Arabidopsis thaliana: one gene and its partner. The protein of the gene in region 1 interacts with the protein of each later gene in a pairwise test. Each region holds a gene or a part of one and is shown in the gene's direction. Other genes may lie near its edges.

Region 1 (10,067 bases):
CATCGATCCAATTGTCTCTAACTACAACTTTGTGATTGAACTGCATCACACCTTCAAGCTGATTAAACTTGAGAGAGAACAACAATCTCGAATCAGCCGTTGGGTTGCTCGATCTCTCTACTTCCATGGCTTCAACGGGACAATACAATTGCACTTTCCACAATCCATAAGCCGAAACAGCGTAAGAGAACAAAGGAGTTGTTGTGATCTTGGTTGACTGACTACGACGCTGCTCGATGATCCAATTTGTAAACGCTAGATTCACTGTTCTCATCCACTGCTCTTCCAAATTAGACCCTAGAAGCTTCATCAGAGATATAGTAGCTCGCCGTGTATGACAAGTAATCAAATGGTTCTTGAGGGTATTGAGGCAGTTTTCACGGAGATACAGAGGAGCTTCGTAGACGCAAACAACGAACGAGAGAGTGAGAATCACGGTGTTGACTATGTCTTTAAGACCGCCGATCTTGGATGAATCGGAGTTAGGGATTTTGATCGTTGAATAGTTGGAACTATTAGAGGTATAGGTTAAGATAGTTTCGACGAAATTGAAGAGGAGAGAGATGATTGTTAGTTCATCGAAAGGGTTTGGTGAGTTTGGGTTGATGCTGAGCTCTTGTTTAGTGGTCCAAAGATACAAAGGAGAATGATTATTGGATTGGACGATGATGGAGAAAGTGACAACTTTAGGGCTAGGGCTCTTTTGTGCTGTGAGATTTAGGGTTGAATTTGGAAAATCAGAAGTTGAAGGGCAAATGCAAAAGGGAAGAGAAGTTGTGCGCCATTTGGTGATCTGTGGGATGTTTTGTATCCAAGTGAATACATCAGGGAACTTCTCGGACATCATTTTTTTTGTTATGTGGTTGTGTTTGAGGTTTGATTGCATATATATACACGTATAAATAGATGCACGTTATATTGTATTTGTACGTCAAATGGGGTCAAGAACATTGAATCATGTGCAGGATTTAGCAAAAAGAAAAATGAAGTGATAAGCTTGAAATTAGTTAAAAGTGGAATAATAAACTTGGCCATTTCGTAGGAATACATATTTCATATATCAAGGGTTTGGATATACTCGTATTGAATGATTATCGAAACTTAAATGTTGCATGATTACGATATATTTTTTTGAATATTGGAAATTTGATTAGTGACTCTTTATTAATATGATAGTCGATAGAGATGGTTTACTGTGCTATGATATGCATGACAATTGACTAGAGTTGACTAGTAACAGCAAAATGAAATTCAGATTCTTTGTCATAATCAGAAAGTGTTTATGTTCTTGCTTTTATCCAAATGTATAAAGAAAATTTGTAAGAGAATAATTAGTAGCCATAGATTCTTTTTAACCACTTTCGCAGCGTGAAGTAAACAACAATGGCCTTTGCATTAATTTATTACTTTACGTATTTCTTTGGTTCACCCCCACCTAGTTTTAGACACAATCCTCATTTTTCTTACCTTACTTAATCGAGCCTTAAAAATAAAAATTATATGCTTGTATATACTATAACAAAGCAAACAAAAATAAAGCAATCAGAAATAGTCAAAACTTCCTTCATTGGTATTTTATCAAAATTAGATATTGTACACTAGTTTCTACCAAAAAATTAGATAATATAGAGAGACACCCCACACGCTAAAAACCATGAAGCATCACTTTTTTGAAAAAAGTTTTTTCTAAATTGGTCATAATCCTCTTTTGTTTCTTTTATTCTCTTTTTGTGAAATTGCATCTTCAGCTGTCAAATTTACGTAGTTTCTTGCTCCACACGGCTGGAGTCCTGGAGATGCCGCGTTACTGAATCTGGATGGCATCGCAGCACTATCGGCGGCAAACGTGTGAAAACCACACACACACACCTATAAAACCCATTTTTAGTATCGATCGATTCACATTAGGCCCATTTATAGGGTCAGGCCCATGTAACATTCATTTCTTGAAAGAACAGGCAAGATTCTAAAACGTACCAAATAGACAGACAAAAATACATTTATCTTCGAAGTGATACATCTCCACAAACTCAGGAGTACAAACCTTTACAAGTGAAAAAACGCATCATCATCATCCATTCACGTCGCTTTTTCCCAACCGCTCTTTGCCGCCGAGCGTTTGGATTATAGCTTCTAAGAGTTTGATCTCGTTATCGCGTTTGGATATCTGTTCTTGCATTCCTCGAAGCTCTTCCATATGCAGCTTGAAAACCTCTGAAACCAAGAGTTGTATAAGTCAGTGAGTGAGAGTGAATATGAAACTGGAACGCAGATAAACGTGCGGGAGAGAATGGTGCCACCAGGCATCAACTCAAGAAGTGATTATCAAGTGCATACTTGTGGTGTTTTCAAGCTCTTTTGTGACATCTTGGGCACGTGATTCAGCAGCCTTTTGAGAGGACTCAGCTTGGCGTTTCTCAGACCGAGCATGAGCAGCAGCTGTAATGGCAGCATCTAGTTCTCTTTCTAGTGTTTGTACTCTTTGCTCAAGAACCTAAAACAAACCATTGAACAGAGTTAAGAGACAATCTGAAACTATCCCTTATCTCAAACATGTAACACAGTCCTTTTTTACTTACAACATGAAGAATTTCTACTTAATACACATAATTGCACTTGGGAGTTTTCATAGTGAAACCTCAAGTCCAGTCTTCAAGGATTTGGTGATCATTTGTACCATTAACAGATCACAAAATCGAAGATTCAAAATTTATGATCAACTACAAGTTCCCAAATTCACCGTCAAATGCAATTCCAGAATCACACTATTACACTGAGCTATAGTAGTACTAAAGCAAACTAAAAAGTGCGATCGTGATCAACTAGATCGAATCCACAAATCACAGAAGCAATCATCAAAGTCAAAGAAAAGAAGCTCAAAATTCAGACAATTAAGCTCTATAATTTCAAATTTTATCACAGGAAAAAGGATTAACCTTGATTGTTCGGGCTTGCTCGGAGACGAGAGAAGCTCTAGAGAAAGTGTCTTCTTCAACGAAGACTGCTTTCTTGAGGAGAAGTTTCTGAAGCGAATCGAGATTCGATGCCATCTCCGTTATATTCTCCAATGATCCTTTCCATCTCTCATCGCTCCCGCCGAATTGCTCCTCCATCGGAAAAAGATCAAAGGATCTCTCCCGGCGCCGGCAAATAAAAAAACTACTCGACTCGCAGATCGATCGGAAAAACAACTAAAGATTCTTTGGGCTTTCTTCGGCCCATATAACTATTGTTTTTTTTAACCGCATGGTAATTTGTTATACGTAAATAAAGGCTGATGTCATCATTACGATGTAAGCCAATAAGAAGATGAGGCGTGCCCAGTTTCGAGAAGGTACTAATGACGTGTACCAATAATAAAACTGGAACTGATAGGATCTCACACTGCTCTCTCGTCCACGAATTCTGATATTAAAAACCCAAGCCTGTTAAACCTTTTGATTTAGTTGCCACGTGTTGATATCATGGTCACTTGTCTTTTGATTCTCCCGAAACAAAAACAATAGTTTAATTAAAATTTAAAATGTTTGTCAAAAAAAAAAAAATAGGAAGCCTTCATCGTCTTCTGCCGAACATCTCTAGAAAGTCCTACACAGTTTTTTTTTTCGATCTAGCTTCGATGAATTGATACAATCTCTTCTATCTGCTGAGTTTTTTGTTTTCTGGTAAACAATTTTATCTGTGGAGTTTTCTGGAGTTGCTAGTGGAAGAATCTGTCTCACAGGTGAGCTTATTTCGTTCGGCTTTGATGGAATCTATTTCGATTGAATTTAATTAGAAAATTTGGTTCTTATCCTCAGTGTTTCCATAGCAGCGGTAGCTGAGGATTTCTCAGATTTGATTGTTTTTTTTTTTGTTGCAGTTAGTTTCATTGAATGCCTCATTTCACTGGATTTTAGTTGTTTTTGTAAACTCTCGGTTTAATAATGATAGTTTAACTCGATTTTGCTAGAAATTACGAGCATAAAATGGTTGAATCCTACTATCTGATTTTTCTCCTACTTTGTTTTTGTGCTACTTGCTATGAGATTTGACTTTTTGGCTGTAGAATTTGAGTCTAATTTCTGGAATTCATGAATAGTTGAAAGAATGGGTTAACTCTTAGGGTTTGGATTACATGTATTTCGGGTTTCATGGGATTTGATTCTGGATAAGAAAAGTCAAGTTTTCTTATATGCTGGGTTCGATTTCTCTATTATTGGAAGCTGTTTAATATATTTATATTTCCTATCCAGAACCAGAAATAGTGTTTGTGGGAGTTACATGTTTTGCAATAGAGATGACATATCGGGGTAATGTGCATGATTTTAGTGGTGATTAAAGAGTCTGAAGTTGGGAGGAATGTCGGACTTGTACATTCATGAGGTGAGTGGAGTCACAATCATATATGTGTGTGTATCTTTTTTCTATGAGACTATGGATTTAGATCTTTCGTTGTTGCTCTTGTCGTATGTTCCCGGAAAATGAACTGTTGTGAAATTTCCTTTTTTTATTGGGTTCAAAATCGTTTAAAATATAGGACAGTTCTTGCATCTCATATTTTACTTCTTGTTATCGCTACCACTTGGATGTGTTCTGTGCAGGATTGGGGATACTTTGTTAGTCTACTCGGTTTGATGTTTCCCTAGTCATTTTTTTCTTTGACTTGGTAATGTGGATTTCTAATTGGTGGCTGAAGTTTTCTTTCCTTTCTTTTCCTTTCAGCTAGGCGATTATCTTTCGGATGAATTTCATGGGAACGATGATGGTATAGTGCCAGACTCAGCGTATGAGGATGGAGGTCAGTTTCCAATTCTAGTTAGTAACAGGAAGAAACGAAGAAATGATGATATGGGTAGTGGAACAAACCATCTAAAGAGTAATACTTTTATCAAGAGAGAGGCAAACATGTTAGGAAAAAATCCATGGCCTGAGAAAGATAGTGGTGGCTCTTCGGTTTCTCGTGATACGGGAACAGGAAAAGATGTTCAGGATATGACATTGGAGGATACAAATACTTCAGATCATGGTTTCAATGGTGGCCACGTAGATGTGGTTGAAAATTTCTCCACTGGGGATCCCATGTTGTGTGACACTTCCGCTGCAACGAATGATGGCGTATATAATTATTCCCTCAACAGCATTCCGGATGCTGAAAATGATCTTAGCTTTTTCGACAATGGAGATAAAGAAAAAAATGATCTCTTCTATGGCTGGGGTGACATAGGAAATTTTGAGGATGTGGACAACATGCTTAGGTAACATTTTAGATATTCTCTTTTCTATATATTCTTATCACATTGGGGATCATTGCTTATGGGAGAAACATGGTAACATTTGTCTGAGCCTACACTCGTTTATTGGACGCACAGGAGTTGTGATTCAACATTCGGCTTGGATAGTCTTAATAATGAAGGTGACTTAGGGTGGTTCTCTTCTGCCCAGCCAAATGAGGAGACAGCAGGCGCGATGACAGATGATCTCAAACCAGACAAAATGTTGGAAAATCAAAGAACCGCTATGTTGCAGGTTGAAGACTTTTTGAACAACAGTGAGCCCAACCATGCTGTTGAAGATGAGTATGGATATACTATTGAGGACGATTCAGCTCAAGGAAAATCATCACAAAATGTATTCGATACAAGTTTGCAAAAGAAGGATATATTGATGCTGGATGTAGAGGTTAGTCAATTTCTTATTTCAGAATTGTTTGCGCCTTCCAAGGCACATGCAACCATTAACTACATGGGATGTTACCTTCTATGATGACTTATTTAGTTGCACGTTTTCCTCAGTTAAATCCTCTAACTATGATATGACGCTTTTTACAATGGTGGTTTATGGTTTCGTTAAGGGCAAGTGGATATTCTATTAGATAAGTATTTGTACTGTTGAAATCTTGACACTATTCCAGCAATTTCATATCAGTACAAATTTTTGTTATACAGGCAAATCTTGAGAAGAAGCAGACTGATCATCTTCATCATCTGGATGGGAAAAGTGATGGGTTCTCGGAGAACAGTTTTACTTTACAGCACAGTGGTATTTCAAGGGAAATAATGGATACCAACCAGTATTACCCTCCCTCCGCATTCCAACAGCGAGATGTGCCATACTCGCATTTCAATTGTGAGCAGCCTTCCGTTCAAGTATCAGCATGTGAAAGTAAATCTGGTATTAAATCTGAGAACAAACCCAGTCCTTCCTCTGCTTCAAATGAGTCATACACATCAAATCATGCACAATCAATCGAGAGCTTACAAGGTCCAACTGTTGATGATCGGTTTAGGAAGGTCTTTGAAACGAGAGCCAACTTGCTGCCTGGGCAAGATATGCCTCCTTCTTTTGCTGCAAATACCAAGAAGAGTAGTAAGACAGACTCCATGGTGTTTCCTGATGCTGCTCCTATCCAGAAGATTGGGCTTGAGAATGACCACAGAAAAGCTGCAACTGAATTGGAAACATCAAATATGCAGGGAAGTTCTTGTGTTAGCTCTGTTGTGGATGACATTTCACTGGAAGCAACAAGTTTTCGCCAGCTTCAACAAGTTATAGAACAGGTACAACTTGTCAATAGATAATTGTTGATATAAGGAAAAGGCTTCCTGGGAATCGGTAAAAGTTTGCTGTTCCTTTGTGATTGATATCAAAGTGTATATATGTTAATAAATTTACATATACATTTGCTTACTTGGTTGATAATACACTTGCTTGCTCCAGTTGGATGTTAGGACAAAGCTTTGCATAAGAGACAGCTTATACCGATTAGCAAAAAGTGCGGAACAGAGACATCATGGTGGAAACAGACCGGAGAAAGGCGCAGGCTCGCATCTCGTGACTGGTGAAGCAGACAAGTAAGCACCACATCCTACATAATTATTCAATATGTTCACCCTTTATCACCTGTTGCTAAGTAAAGTTCTTGATGCCAACTTATAACTTTATATAGGATTAGACTCGAGTCTTGACAGATTTAGTAACTCTCTTCTTTAGAAACTTCCACTTGGGCTCTTGTACTCGTCCTTCATTTCTCTTAGATTCTAATCTTTGATATCTGTATGTGGTCTCATCCAGGTATGCTGGATTCATGGATATCGAAACTGATACAAACCCGATAGATCGATCGATAGCTCATTTGCTGTTTCACAGGCCCTCAGACTCATCTCTTTCATCCGATAACAATGTTCTGTCTTATAAATCTCATCCAATGGTAAGTTAAACCTTCGATTCTTACACCGCCATTTAATGTGCAAAACACAGTGCCTCATTTTACCCATCACTATCTACACAGATTCCTCAGCCCAATAGTAGTCCGAGCCTGAGGATAGAGAAACAAGAGGAAACTACAGAACTTAGACCCGAAGCAGAAGTTGTAACAAGTGACAACAATTAATGATGTCAAATAAAACTGGCTCTTTCATTGCTGAAGCATTCGAGATATTGTTGTTAACACTAATCTCGATTTTGGCTAAGCGAAATTGCTCAGGTTAGTTACTAAAATCCTGACTGCTTCTTCATTAGAATCATGGATTTTGTAACACAGTTGTATTTATGTGTTGAGATAACTTTCTGGTCTAGATTTCGGTTCGAACCTGATTGTACACCTGGTTGCTCGAACCTGATTGTACACCTGGTTGCTCGAACCAGGTCTTTAAGATATGTTCTTTACCTTTGTAATCTGTTCAAGTTGTTAAGTAGAGGAAGAAGTAGAGACATAGCAATTCTGTAGATAAAGATGTTAGTTCGTTTTGTAATGCGATAAAATATTCTGCTGTGTATTTACTCTCTTTTTTTCAAAATAGCGAATTTTAGGGTTTTATTTTCCAATAAATATTTGATGATCTCATAAATATATATATTTCAATAATGATGAAATTAGACATTCCGAAGCAAATTATAAGATTAACCTTTGTGTCACAAGCTACGTTACAGAAATTGGATTTGGATGGTACAAATGTAGTAAAAGGTAAAAGAAACACTAATCGAAAGTTTGCCTAAGCTGCATCTCGGTTTCACTTTTCCAAGAAGCGTGAGAAGATTGTCCTCTCATTCTTTTGCTCTTCTCTTTATCTTTGATCGTAGAGCCTTTCTTCTTCGCGTCTACGTCCGGTAATGGCCGGTCACCACAAATCGGGCATACCATTCCTCTTGCGCTTGTATATGTTTTCGGTACACCGCATTGCACACACATCCTAAACTCATCATAGAAATCCTAATCAAGCTCACATTGTGCAAATTTATACTAAAGAATGAAGAAGAGGGCAAGGGTTATTCATACCTCAAGAGATCTGCAGATTCTTCTGCATTAGGATTGGTTGCAGTAGATATCCGCTTTTCACCACTCTCTGAAGATGGGGGTGCATCAATATCGTTTCTTACTCTCTCATGGATTCCTACTAGTTGAGGTTTTGCTTCCATGACAACACCTACAAGCCAATAAACGGAAACCATCAGGCTGGATCGAGAGATAACAACAGTTCCATAAACAGAACTGTGAAACTGGATAGATAGAGATTACAACACAAAGTGCCTGGTTTCATATTTCACAATGTTTATGCTTTAAGTATCAAAACAAGCTTCTAAAGCTAAATCCACATTCACATATATTTTCGAGATACAAATCCGTAATCTTGTGAACTTTAAACCTACTGATGTAAATTCTTCAACATCATCTAAAGATGTACCATTCCCTATAACCAAAATGCTAAGACGATGCAAAAGAGTTGTGGCTACCTTTTGGTTTAACTTTCTTCTTTTTGCGACTAATACGATTTGCATGTTCTGCATCTCTAGCTGAAGCTTCATTATCTGCTTCTGTGCGGTTGTTTAGAAACTCCGGTGGCCCTGAAATCTGCAAAATTCAATAGAAGCAAAGAATCATTCACTATAAGCTTTTCGAGTAAGAAGTAACCAAGCCAACGAACACTGAAAAGTTTTCACTATCAGAAGATCTCTTTATTATTCAAACCCCAAACCTAACCTAGTCTCAGGATTCCTAACCCTAAATTCCGATCACATCAAATCTACAGATCCAAGTAACTTATTTTCATCTATAATAAAGAAACCATTCAATCTCACAGCGAATCTCCTCAAGGAAAACGACAATTCGATGAATTGAGGTGTATAAAATCAAAATCAAAGAGAAGGAAGACCTGAGAGAAAACGTCGTCAGCTGAAGGAAGGCCGGCGTTTTTAGCGGAGGAGGCAGATGCAGAGAAATCAAACACAGAAGACGATTCATATCTCCGAACATCATTATCCCCATCTTCGTCGGAGTTGTCGTAATCCCCAAAAGCTCTCTCCTCTGCTTCTTCTTCTTCAGCAGAAGAATAGCCTTGAAGCAGCGTCAAGCTCATGTTTGTTCGTTGCTCCAAAGATCTATCGGAGCCGCAAACAAAAATAAGAAGAACTTTTCTTTATTTATGCTTTAGCCCCTTATATTCCTTGTTAATCTTATTTCAATCCTCGGTTCAAAACCCGGCTAAAAACAGAACCGGATTATCCGGTTTAGTTGGTAATATATTTATAAACCGATTTGGTCTGTTTGTGCGGCAAAAACCTTGAAATGATAAGAATCTTCCCAAGTCTACGGTTAACCTCTTTGCTCTCTGCCGCTAAACCTCTTTGCTCATCTTCTCCGGCGAAAAAACCACCGCAATACACGTCGCTTACAGAGTCAAAATCCTCTCGGCCGACTAAGTCTCTCAGCATAACTCCCAAGACACCGCTATACCTTAGGACGCCGTCGCACGCAACTTCTCTATCGGAGGTTTGGAAATGGCACGACTGGGCGAAAGATCTGGCGTCCTCCGTAGAGGAATCTTCGAAGAATTCCGAAGATACTCTTGACTCTGTCATTCTCCACCGTGAGCTAAAATGGCTGATCGAAGACTCAATCGTAGACGATCCTTTAGTGATTCTTCATAGAAGCGAAATCGCGGACAACGGCGAGAAGAATGTGAAATTGAGAGCGTCGTTGGAGGAGCTTTACGATTTATGGAGGCAGAGGATCGAGAAGCGTCGGCCGTTTCAGTACGTCGTCGGATGCGAGCATTGGAGAGATCTAGTGTTGTGCGTTGAGGAAGGGG
Region 2 (8,701 bases), on another chromosome or scaffold:
AAAACGAAATCGAAGAGCTTCGAGGTCGTCTCGAGGTCTCTGTCGAAGAAAATTCCGCCGAAGAATGGTCGGAAGAACCGATCAAGAATCGTTTCGGAGAAACCGATCTTACGGAGGAGATCAATGGTGGGAACTTCATCGGCGGCAGTCAATATCTCTTCGTCTGACTTGATTAGAACCCTAGCTCTCGTCAAAGCGATAAGCCCTTTGTCAACGACGGATCCGATCGGATTCGCGAGAGATGCCACCGAATCCCAAAAATGTCGGAGAGGATCAGCGACGGTGTGAAATTTACCGCCGTAAAACACCTTAGCTCCGGCGTAGAATCTCTGCAGATCCAGTGCTTCATAATCTAGAAGCTTTTTAGCTTCGGGGTACGCGGTGATGAAAATCTGAAATCCTCTGTCGAGAAAGAAGCCGTCGACGATATCTGTACGGACGCGTCCGCCGACGCCATCGGAAGCTTCGAGGAGTAGGAAAGGGATTCGTTTGGAGGTGAGCTGGTTTGCGGCGGCTAAACCAGCGAGTCCAGCGCCGATGATGATGACGCCAGTTTGATTCTTCCGAATGTACGGATCTTCCGTGGAAGATTGAGCTCCGGAAAAGCGTTGATATCGGTGATTTGCATGGCCGCGGCGGCGAGGGAAGAAATGAGAAGTAGATGAGGTTGGGAGAGAGATCGCCACGGGCATTTTAAAAGTTTGGATAAGGTTTTTCTCATTCCTTTACTTTATTTTCCCCGGGAAAATTATTTGTCTAGAAAAAATAATATATATATATTCAAATAATTATTTAAAAGATTCGAATAAGTCTTGTTTTCTTGATTCTTTTCCTTATTAATCTGAACAAAAACAAATTATGAAGACCAGAGTCCTAGTCCCAGAGAGGACCGTTGTCCTAGAGACGGATACAGCCCAAGAGACGACCTTAGTCCTGCGGAAGATGAAGACCAATGAAGAGTAGGAAGACTGGTGATTGCTTATAGGCCGTCTATTTTGGCTTATAATGATTTTAAATAAGTGTAATGGATTTTGTTGCTTAATACTTCGTCTGCTATCTTGTTTTAAATATTTAAGAAAATAAAACGACTTTCGGGATTGTCTTTTTCTTTCTGTTCCATGTCTTCTTAACTGCTATGAGTAAAAGAGCTCTCCCAGACTCTTCTTCTATCTCCAAAAGCTTTTATTTTTGTTTGTTTATTTTGGTACTGATAATATCTGAGTATATATATAATATAGTAGAAACAATGAGCAAAAGTCAATATGTCCGAGTGGTTAAGGAGATTGACTCGAAATCAATTGGGCTTTGCCCGCGCAGGTTCGAATCCTGCTGTTGACGGAATTGTTTTTCTTTTTAGCTTTTGTTGGGTTGTGAAAAGTATAACAACCTTAATAATTTCGTTTTTTTAATCTAAAAATATACGGTAGTTTTCTCATCATCACCAATAAGAATTGTTTGATATGAAACAACAGAATCAGGAAAATTTGTTAAAATGTCAGAAAATGGAAAAATCTCTAACTGAACAAAAGTAACAAAAAAAACTCCCTTAGAAACAGAGGAATCATGATGAGAGACAAAATTATACAGAGACGTGGAGATGTCTGTAACGTTGTCTCATCCATCATCATGTCTTCTTCTTCTCTTCCTTCTCTTTTCCGGTCATCCCTCCGTCCTCGGAACCTCCATCCCCGACGCGGTGAACACGGCGGCGCGTTTGGTAAACAGAGCGAGAAGAGCAAAACTGTCGAGAGAATTTCTACAAGCGCACAACGATGCACGTGTTTCTTCAGGCGTGCCAACGCTCGGATGGGACAGAGACCTGGCCCGATTCGCTGATAAATGGGCTAAACAACGTAAGTCCGATTGCAGTATGATACATTCAGGTGGGCCTTACGGTGAGAACATTTTCTGGCACCGGCGTAAGAAGACGTGGTCGCCGGAGAAAGTGGTGACGAGATGGTTTGAGGAAAGGTTTAACTACGACGTGAAAACAAACACGTGCGCACCGGGAAAGATGTGCGGCCATTACACGCAGATGGTGTGGAGAGAGACCACAGCCGTTGGATGCGCACGTGTGAAATGCCATAACGGTCGTGGCTATCTTGTGGTGTGTGAATATGATCCACGCGGGAATTACGAAGGTGAAAGACCATTTTGATCAAAACAGTTAAAATGAAAAAATTGTTAGAGATTCAAAATATTTTTTCTTCTTCTAATGTAATGAAGATGGTATATTATTCTTGGTCCTTACATATATACAGCCATGTATTGAAGAGGTATAAATTCAAATGGTTCGGAATCTTTTAATTTTATATATTAAAGATCAATAATAAAAAAAAACGTCGACAGCAGGGTTCGAACCTGCGCGGGCGAAGCCCAATAGATTTCAAGTCTATCTCCTTAACCACTCGGACATATCGACTTGTTGTATTTGTTTCGTAAGATTTGAATACAAAACCGAATTCTCTGTTGCCTAAATCGGAGCTTTTCATCCCTTGACTCTCTAAGACATCTGAAGCAGCTAAAGTGTTGGATGTTTCACATAACGACATGGGCGGCAAGCACCCAGTGGACACAACAAGGTACCTTTGTTCTTGGCCGCCCTCTAATTCGGGTGAAATTGGAAGAGAGGTGCTTGGTATATACTAGGATGCGTATTTGGTGCTTAGAGATTTGATGAAACTGAAGCAGTTAGATATTAGAGACAACGACCTAATATTTGCAGGTGAAGAGTTCAGCTCTTTTGTCCGCCAGGTTTTTCCAAAGCTTGTATGGCTTGATGGCCACAAACTCGCAAGTTAAAGATAAATGTTAGGCCACTTGTTTTAATTAAAGTATAAAACTCTTTCGTTTTTTTGGATTCATTTTCATGAAATCAAAAGACTACAAGTCTACACGTGCTTCAAGCTTGAGGCTCTAAATGAAGTGGTAGGAAAGAATGAAATAATAATAAAAAAAGTCAGAAAAATGGATGGTCTGAGATCAAAGTGAAACCTACTCCACATACACATCCCAACTTCTTCCCCGCCATGTGGACTTTTCTTTTTCCTACTTTCTCTCTCTGCATTCTCTCTTACACCTGTCTTTATCTGAAAAATAACCGATGAGCTCGTCGCCGTCAAGAAATCCAACGAACGCCGAAGCACCTCCGCCACCACCAACATCGACGGATGCTGTGGCAGAGGGTTCGTCTAAGAAAGTGAGGAAACCATATACCATCACCAAGTCAAGAGAGAGCTGGACAGAGGAAGAGCACGATAAGTTTCTTGAAGCACTTCAACTGTAATAATTTATCTCTGTTTCTCTGTTTTTAGAGACTTCAAATTTCTTAGTTTGCTGCTGATTTCTGAGTTTAGTTAGTTATAGACTGAACAAACAGAGGAAAGTTTATGTTACTTAGCTTAGGTCTAGTAGTAACTTAGCTATAAAAAATCTGCTTAGCTAAAAAGATCTGCTTCTTGGAGCACTTCAACTGTAATAAATTTATAGTTGTGTTGACTTTTTGAAAGTGTTATTGATGTAACTAGGACCTGATTCTGCTGATACTACTACTCCTCTATGTTCCTTAGGTTTGATCGTGACTGGAAGAAGATTGAAGATTTTGTTGGTTCAAAGACTGTGATTCAGGTTTTAAAATAGCTTACTCTGCATTTTTGGTCGCAGTTACTTTGTGGCAATGTTTTCAACTTATTTGACTTTGTACTGCAGATAAGGAGTCATGCTCAAAAATACTTTCTCAAGGTTCAGAAAAACGGGACATTAGCTCATGTGCCACCTCCTCGACCTAAGCGCAAAGCAGCTCATCCGTATCCTCAAAAGGCATCAAAGAACGGTTCGAATATTTTATAATACTTCTTAGTTTGGTTATAGAGTTGAGTTTTTAACTCACATTTTCTTGCAGCTCAAATGCCACTTCAAGTTTCCACGTCTTTTACTACTACGCGAAATGGCGACATGCCGGGATATGCTTCATGGGATGATGCCTCAATGCTGCTAAACAGAGTTATTTCACCACAACATGAACTTGCTACTCTTCGTGGAGCAGAAGGCATGCACATTTGTCTATCCTTTTTGTTTTCTTCATTTTATTGGTAGTTGTAGTAAGAATAGGTTCCATCAAAGGACGTTTCATGTGCTTATTATGGCATATAACGCCACTGATTCAGCTGATATTGGATCAAAGGGCTTATTAAATGTTAGTAGCCCTTCTACATCTGGCATGGGAAGCTCAAGCCGAACAGTATCAGGTTCTGAGATTGTAAGAAAGGCTAAACAGCCTCCAGTGCTTCACGGTAACCATCTGTGAACAATTCCATGTTTTTTCACTAACTTTTATGCATGATGGAGACTGTACTGATACTATCTTTGTAGGTGTTCCTGATTTTGCTGAAGTTTATAATTTCATTGGGAGTGTCTTTGATCCTGAAACGAGAGGCCATGTGGAAAAGCTCAAGGAAATGGATCCTATAAATTTCGAAACTGTGAGTCAAGAGTTTACAAGCTTTCAGATTAATTGGTGTTCAAGCTCTTAGCATTTCTTCACTAATCACATAGTATGGTGTTTACAGGTTCTGTTATTGATGAGAAACCTCACAGTTAACTTATCAAACCCTGATTTAGAATCCACTGTAAGTGTTAAATTTGCGATAAAAGATTTGTGATGACCAACTTTCTCAGAGTCTGAAACTATTTCACTCTCAACCAATGAGTTGGAGGCACTTCTTTTATGATCTTTGGTTCCTTACATTGAAATGAGTTTTTTTGCGCTTGCGTGATCAAATTTAATCTAACCTCAGCTAGTCGGATTGTAATGATGCTGCAGAGGAAAGTCCTCTTATCATATGACAACGTGACGACCGAGCTCCCAAGCGTTGTTTCCCTTGTCAAGAACTCAACAAGCGACAAATCAGCATAACAAAAATATGAGCCATCAGCTAGCAAGTAAGTGTTTTTCCCTCTTTTTCCTCTGACCTTTTAAATTCAGTACAAGAAAACATTTCACTACTATTAGAAGTCACATGAGTTCATGGTTAGATATAAGTCTAGTGACAGTTCTCTAACTCTAAGGTTTGCAATAAGAGTTCTATAGTTAGTCACAGTCTGGGATACAAGATATATACACTACGGTATTTTGAGTATTAGCACCAGTTCAGGCTTCTTGCAAACTTTGTAAAGTCTTGCATAAGAGTTATATGGTTCTCACCGTATTGGCAGGTTTACTCATTGGTTTCCCATGTTTAATAAACTTTGGTGTTATACGTCACTGGAATCACAATCGTGTCACTGCATCATCATGTGGGAATTGTGTAAAAGGTCTTTGTTGTTTTGAGGAGAAACATAAGCCAAGTTTTGAAGCTATAGGGGGCTTCCGCAGATTTTGACCAGGACTAGTTGGGTGAATGGTAGGTATAATATATGTAAGGGGTTTTTCTACTAGTTGCAAGACAGCCTCATTCTCATCCACCCGTTACTCTTGTACTAAAATCTCGTCATAACTTTTTGTTCAGTTGTTGTGTATTTGTGTAAAAGATAAGTCCTAGGACTGAGTGTAATGGTTCAAGATCAGTGTTAAGTAAATGACGGCAACTCTATTGTTTTAAAGTTGACAGCTTTCTTTATATATTATGGGGTTTGATTCAGAATTTTGTTTTTAATAAGGAAACCAAGTCAAGTCTATAAAAAGATTTTGCAATTGTGGAGAGATTGTATGTATTCAAGTATTCAACAACATCAATCAATACTTACTAGTTTTCTGAATAATTTTTAAAAAATCCTAGAATCAAAAACCTCATGATTTTATAAAACAGAGTATCTGCCTGATTGTGCTCCTCCAGGAAGGGAGAAGGTTTGGTTAGTTATGTCTTCAAGAACACGCTTGAGTTCAGCTTTCGCTGTCTTAACAGATATTTCGGTAGGCCCTTCGACGAACAAATAGAGCTTGCGTTCCTCAGGTCCCGGGATACGTCCTGCCTCATAAAACTTACCTCTAGTGGTAATGGAAGCTCCACTCCACTCTGATATTGGTCCCAGCGTTTCTTTGTGGGTAACTTTCCACCGAGCATTCTGTGGGAAATCATTGATTTCCAATTCTGCTTCATAGTGTTCAGGTATCGCATCAGCTTGAATCTTTGCAAGGTACTGTTGCACGTTAGCAGCAGCAATCATGGCTGCAACGCGGCCTGCTCCATCAGTAGGAGGGATACCTGGCTCAGTGGCTAGCCCACCACCATTTGGAAGCAATTGGTTAGCAGTCACAGGAGCCTTAGAAGCAGCAGAAGCAATGGCGGCTATCTGAGCAAGAGTAATCTGCTGCTGTGAGATATCACCACCAGCCTTTCTTACTACATCATTCTCATCTTCTGAGTCAGACTTCTCTTCTTCAAAGCCATACTCCTTCGCTTGTGCTTTCTTTGCTGCTTTCCTAACTTCATCCTCCTCTTCGTTGAATTTAAAGCCACTTCCACCATAGCCAGTTCCATGAGCTTGCTCAATACCCTGTTTTACTTTCGCCATGAACCCTTCGGCTACTGCTTTAACATCATCAGGAACTGGCTGCTCAGATAGTTCCAGGGCCTTGACTAAATCTGGTGCATATTTTGCATCATCCTCAGAGATAAATGTTACAGCACAGCCTTTCCGCCCTGCCCTACCTGTCCTACCAACACGATGCACATAGTCTTCATAGTGGTTTGGTGCATCGAAGTTTACAACCAACTCGAGCTCTTTCACATCTAGACCCCTGGCTGCAACACTTGTGGCGATCAACAAATTGCAGACATCGCTCTTAAAATCAGATATAGCTGATTCACGATCAGTCTGTTCCTTACCCCCGTGAAGAGATAGACAGGCTCATTTGGTCATCAAATCATTATACAAAGCATCACATTTTTCCTGCGAACGAACAAAGACCAAAACTTTTCCTTTCTCATACCATTCCCCAAGAAGTTCCAGAAGTCTTGAGAACCTCTCACTCTCGGGTCTGATTTCAACTAACTGAGTTATATCTTTATTCACAACACTCCTCCCACCGACCTGTATCTCCACAGGCTTGTTCAAGACTTTACGTGCCAAAGTTTCAACTTGGCGTGGAAAAGTGGCAGAAAAGAGCACAGTTTGACGATCAGGTCGAATATTTTGAACAATGCGAGTTATTTGAGGCTCAAAACCCATATCAAACATACGATCAGCTTCATCCATTACCAAATATGTGACCCTTCGTAGATTGGTAATTTTTCCACTGCTTGTGCAAAGAATATCGATCATTCTTCCAGGAGTACAAACAACAATCTCGGTACCTCGCTTAAGCTCACTGATTTGCTGGGCAACTCCAGATCCTCCATACACAGGCACACATATTATACCCAATGCCTTAGAAAACTTTCTGATATCGCTGTAAATCTGCTGAACAAGTTCTCTAGTAGGTGCCATTACAAGCCCAATCGGCCCATCACCAGCTTCAACGGGAGGCTGATCTTTGATATGCCTCAACATAGGCAAAACAAAGCCAAGGGTTTTACCTGACCCGGTTTTGGCAACCCCAATGCAGTCTCTACCGCTCATGATGATTGGAAGTGCTTGTGCTTGGATAGGCATTGGCTTTTCATAGTTAAGCTTCTTCAGAGTATCCAAAATTTTGCTAGTTAATCCAGTCTGGTGCCAAAATTGAATGGGTCTTGGAACATCTTTCCCATGAACTTTCAGCTCCAATTCCTTTCTATAAGCGTTCACTGCATCCTGTGTCATCCTTGAGATATCCTTGACTTCGATATAAAAATTCTTCCGGAAAGGTTCATACTCTATTTTGGAGTGGTCAACAAGAGACAATTTCTCTGCTTTTGTCTTCTTAACTCTCTTCATAAACTCCTCGTCGTCTTCGTCTAAACTTGGATCATCATCACTCTTTGGTTCTGAGTAATCTGAATCAGAATCTTCACCTTGAATTATCCTACCAAGGGCGGCCTTATTAAAACCTTTTTTGGCTTGGTCACCAGTTTCCTTCCCATTCATTTTAAAATCCAAAATACCATCGATCACAATATTGCTAAGCTTTTCAACCTCAGGTAATACCATAGTATTCATAAAAGCATCTAAGGGATCAATTTCGTCTTCATCTGCAGCTCTGTCACCTCCATTCTCAGAGACAGTAACAGCTGTCTCATTCTCCGAGGCGACCATCTTGGCATCTCCACCATTTTCGAGTTTAGTATCACGATCAACATCCATCTCTGAGTCTGATTTAACTTCATCATCAGATTCACCATCAAGAGTCCAAGCCTTACCGGTCTCAGGACCCTTACTTTCAATTTGAGCTTCCTCGTTTTGCCTCTTCAACTCTTGCCACTCCTGGACTCTTCTCCTCCGTTTTTCTACTTCCTCAGCCAACTGCTTCTGCTCATCCTCTACTTGTTCATCCCGAGTTTTCTTCTCAACATCGTCATCTCCATGCCTGCTACGCTCCGTTCTTTTGCGTTTCAAGCCACACTTGACATCATCACTCTCTTCATTACAATCCTCACGTGACCTCTCCTTTTTCTGTTTCTTCCTACCCTTTTCTTTCTCACGTTCTCTCCTCTCTCTGTCCCTTTTCAGATATTTTCCTCTATCTCTGTCACGTTCTCGGCGTCCTCTTCCCTTGTCCTCCCCTCTGCGTTTACTATCCCTCTCGTATTCTTCTTCTTCAAAATCGCTACTTTTTCTATCC

The links.
Region 2: the proteins of AT5G64170 (region 1) and RVE8 interact in a protein complementation assay, tested with the Arabidopsis thaliana proteins (one study listed by BioGRID).

The regions. Positions count from the first base shown.
Region 1 is NC_003076.8:25,670,209-25,680,275, reverse strand, and holds AT5G64170 (dentin sialophosphoprotein-like protein), read left to right. Parts: upstream 1-3,452; 5' UTR 3,453-3,724; intron 3,725-4,235; 5' UTR 4,236-4,341; coding exon 4,342-4,365; intron 4,366-4,704; coding exon 4,705-5,237; intron 5,238-5,351; coding exon 5,352-5,661; intron 5,662-5,927; coding exon 5,928-6,539; intron 6,540-6,699; coding exon 6,700-6,833; intron 6,834-7,053; coding exon 7,054-7,189; intron 7,190-7,270; coding exon 7,271-7,372; 3' UTR 7,373-7,465; exon of another isoform or gene 7,466-7,557; 3' UTR 7,558-7,810; downstream 7,811-10,067. Other genes in the region: AT5G64190 (neuronal PAS domain protein), read right to left, coding at 1-847; AT5G64180 (tropomyosin), read right to left, coding at 2,072-2,214, 2,338-2,494, 2,937-3,113; AT5G64160 (plant/protein), read right to left, coding at 7,958-8,171, 8,258-8,405, 8,713-8,830, 9,132-9,335; AT5G64150 (RNA methyltransferase family protein), read left to right, coding at 9,545-10,067. UniProt on the Arabidopsis thaliana protein: Transcriptional coactivator necessary for expression of the clock genes PRR5 and TOC1. Antagonizes REV8 function in the regulation of anthocyanin accumulation. Involved in red light input to the clock. Activates clock-controlled genes with afternoon peak.
Region 2 is NC_003074.8:2,943,356-2,952,056, forward strand, and holds RVE8 (Homeodomain-like superfamily protein), read left to right. Parts: upstream 1-2,883; 5' UTR 2,884-3,103; coding exon 3,104-3,282; exon of another isoform or gene 3,283-3,558; coding exon of another isoform or gene 3,559-3,569; coding exon 3,570-3,627; intron 3,628-3,708; coding exon 3,709-3,832; intron 3,833-3,901; coding exon 3,902-4,048; intron 4,049-4,166; coding exon 4,167-4,292; intron 4,293-4,371; coding exon 4,372-4,481; intron 4,482-4,568; coding exon 4,569-4,628; coding exon of another isoform or gene 4,629-4,661; exon of another isoform or gene 4,662-4,800; coding exon of another isoform or gene 4,801-4,822; coding exon 4,823-4,915; 3' UTR 4,916-4,941; exon of another isoform or gene 4,942-5,214; 3' UTR 5,215-5,662; downstream 5,663-8,701. Other genes in the region: AT3G09580 (FAD/NAD(P)-binding oxidoreductase family protein), read right to left, coding at 1-692; AT3G09590 (CAP (Cysteine-rich secretory proteins, Antigen 5, and Pathogenesis-related 1 protein) superfamily protein), read left to right, coding at 1,598-2,158; AT3G09620 (P-loop containing nucleoside triphosphate hydrolases superfamily protein), read right to left, coding at 5,797-6,800, 6,885-8,701. UniProt on the Arabidopsis thaliana protein: Transcriptional activator of evening element (EE)-containing clock-controlled genes. Forms a negative feedback loop with APRR5. Regulates the pattern of histone H3 acetylation of the TOC1 promoter.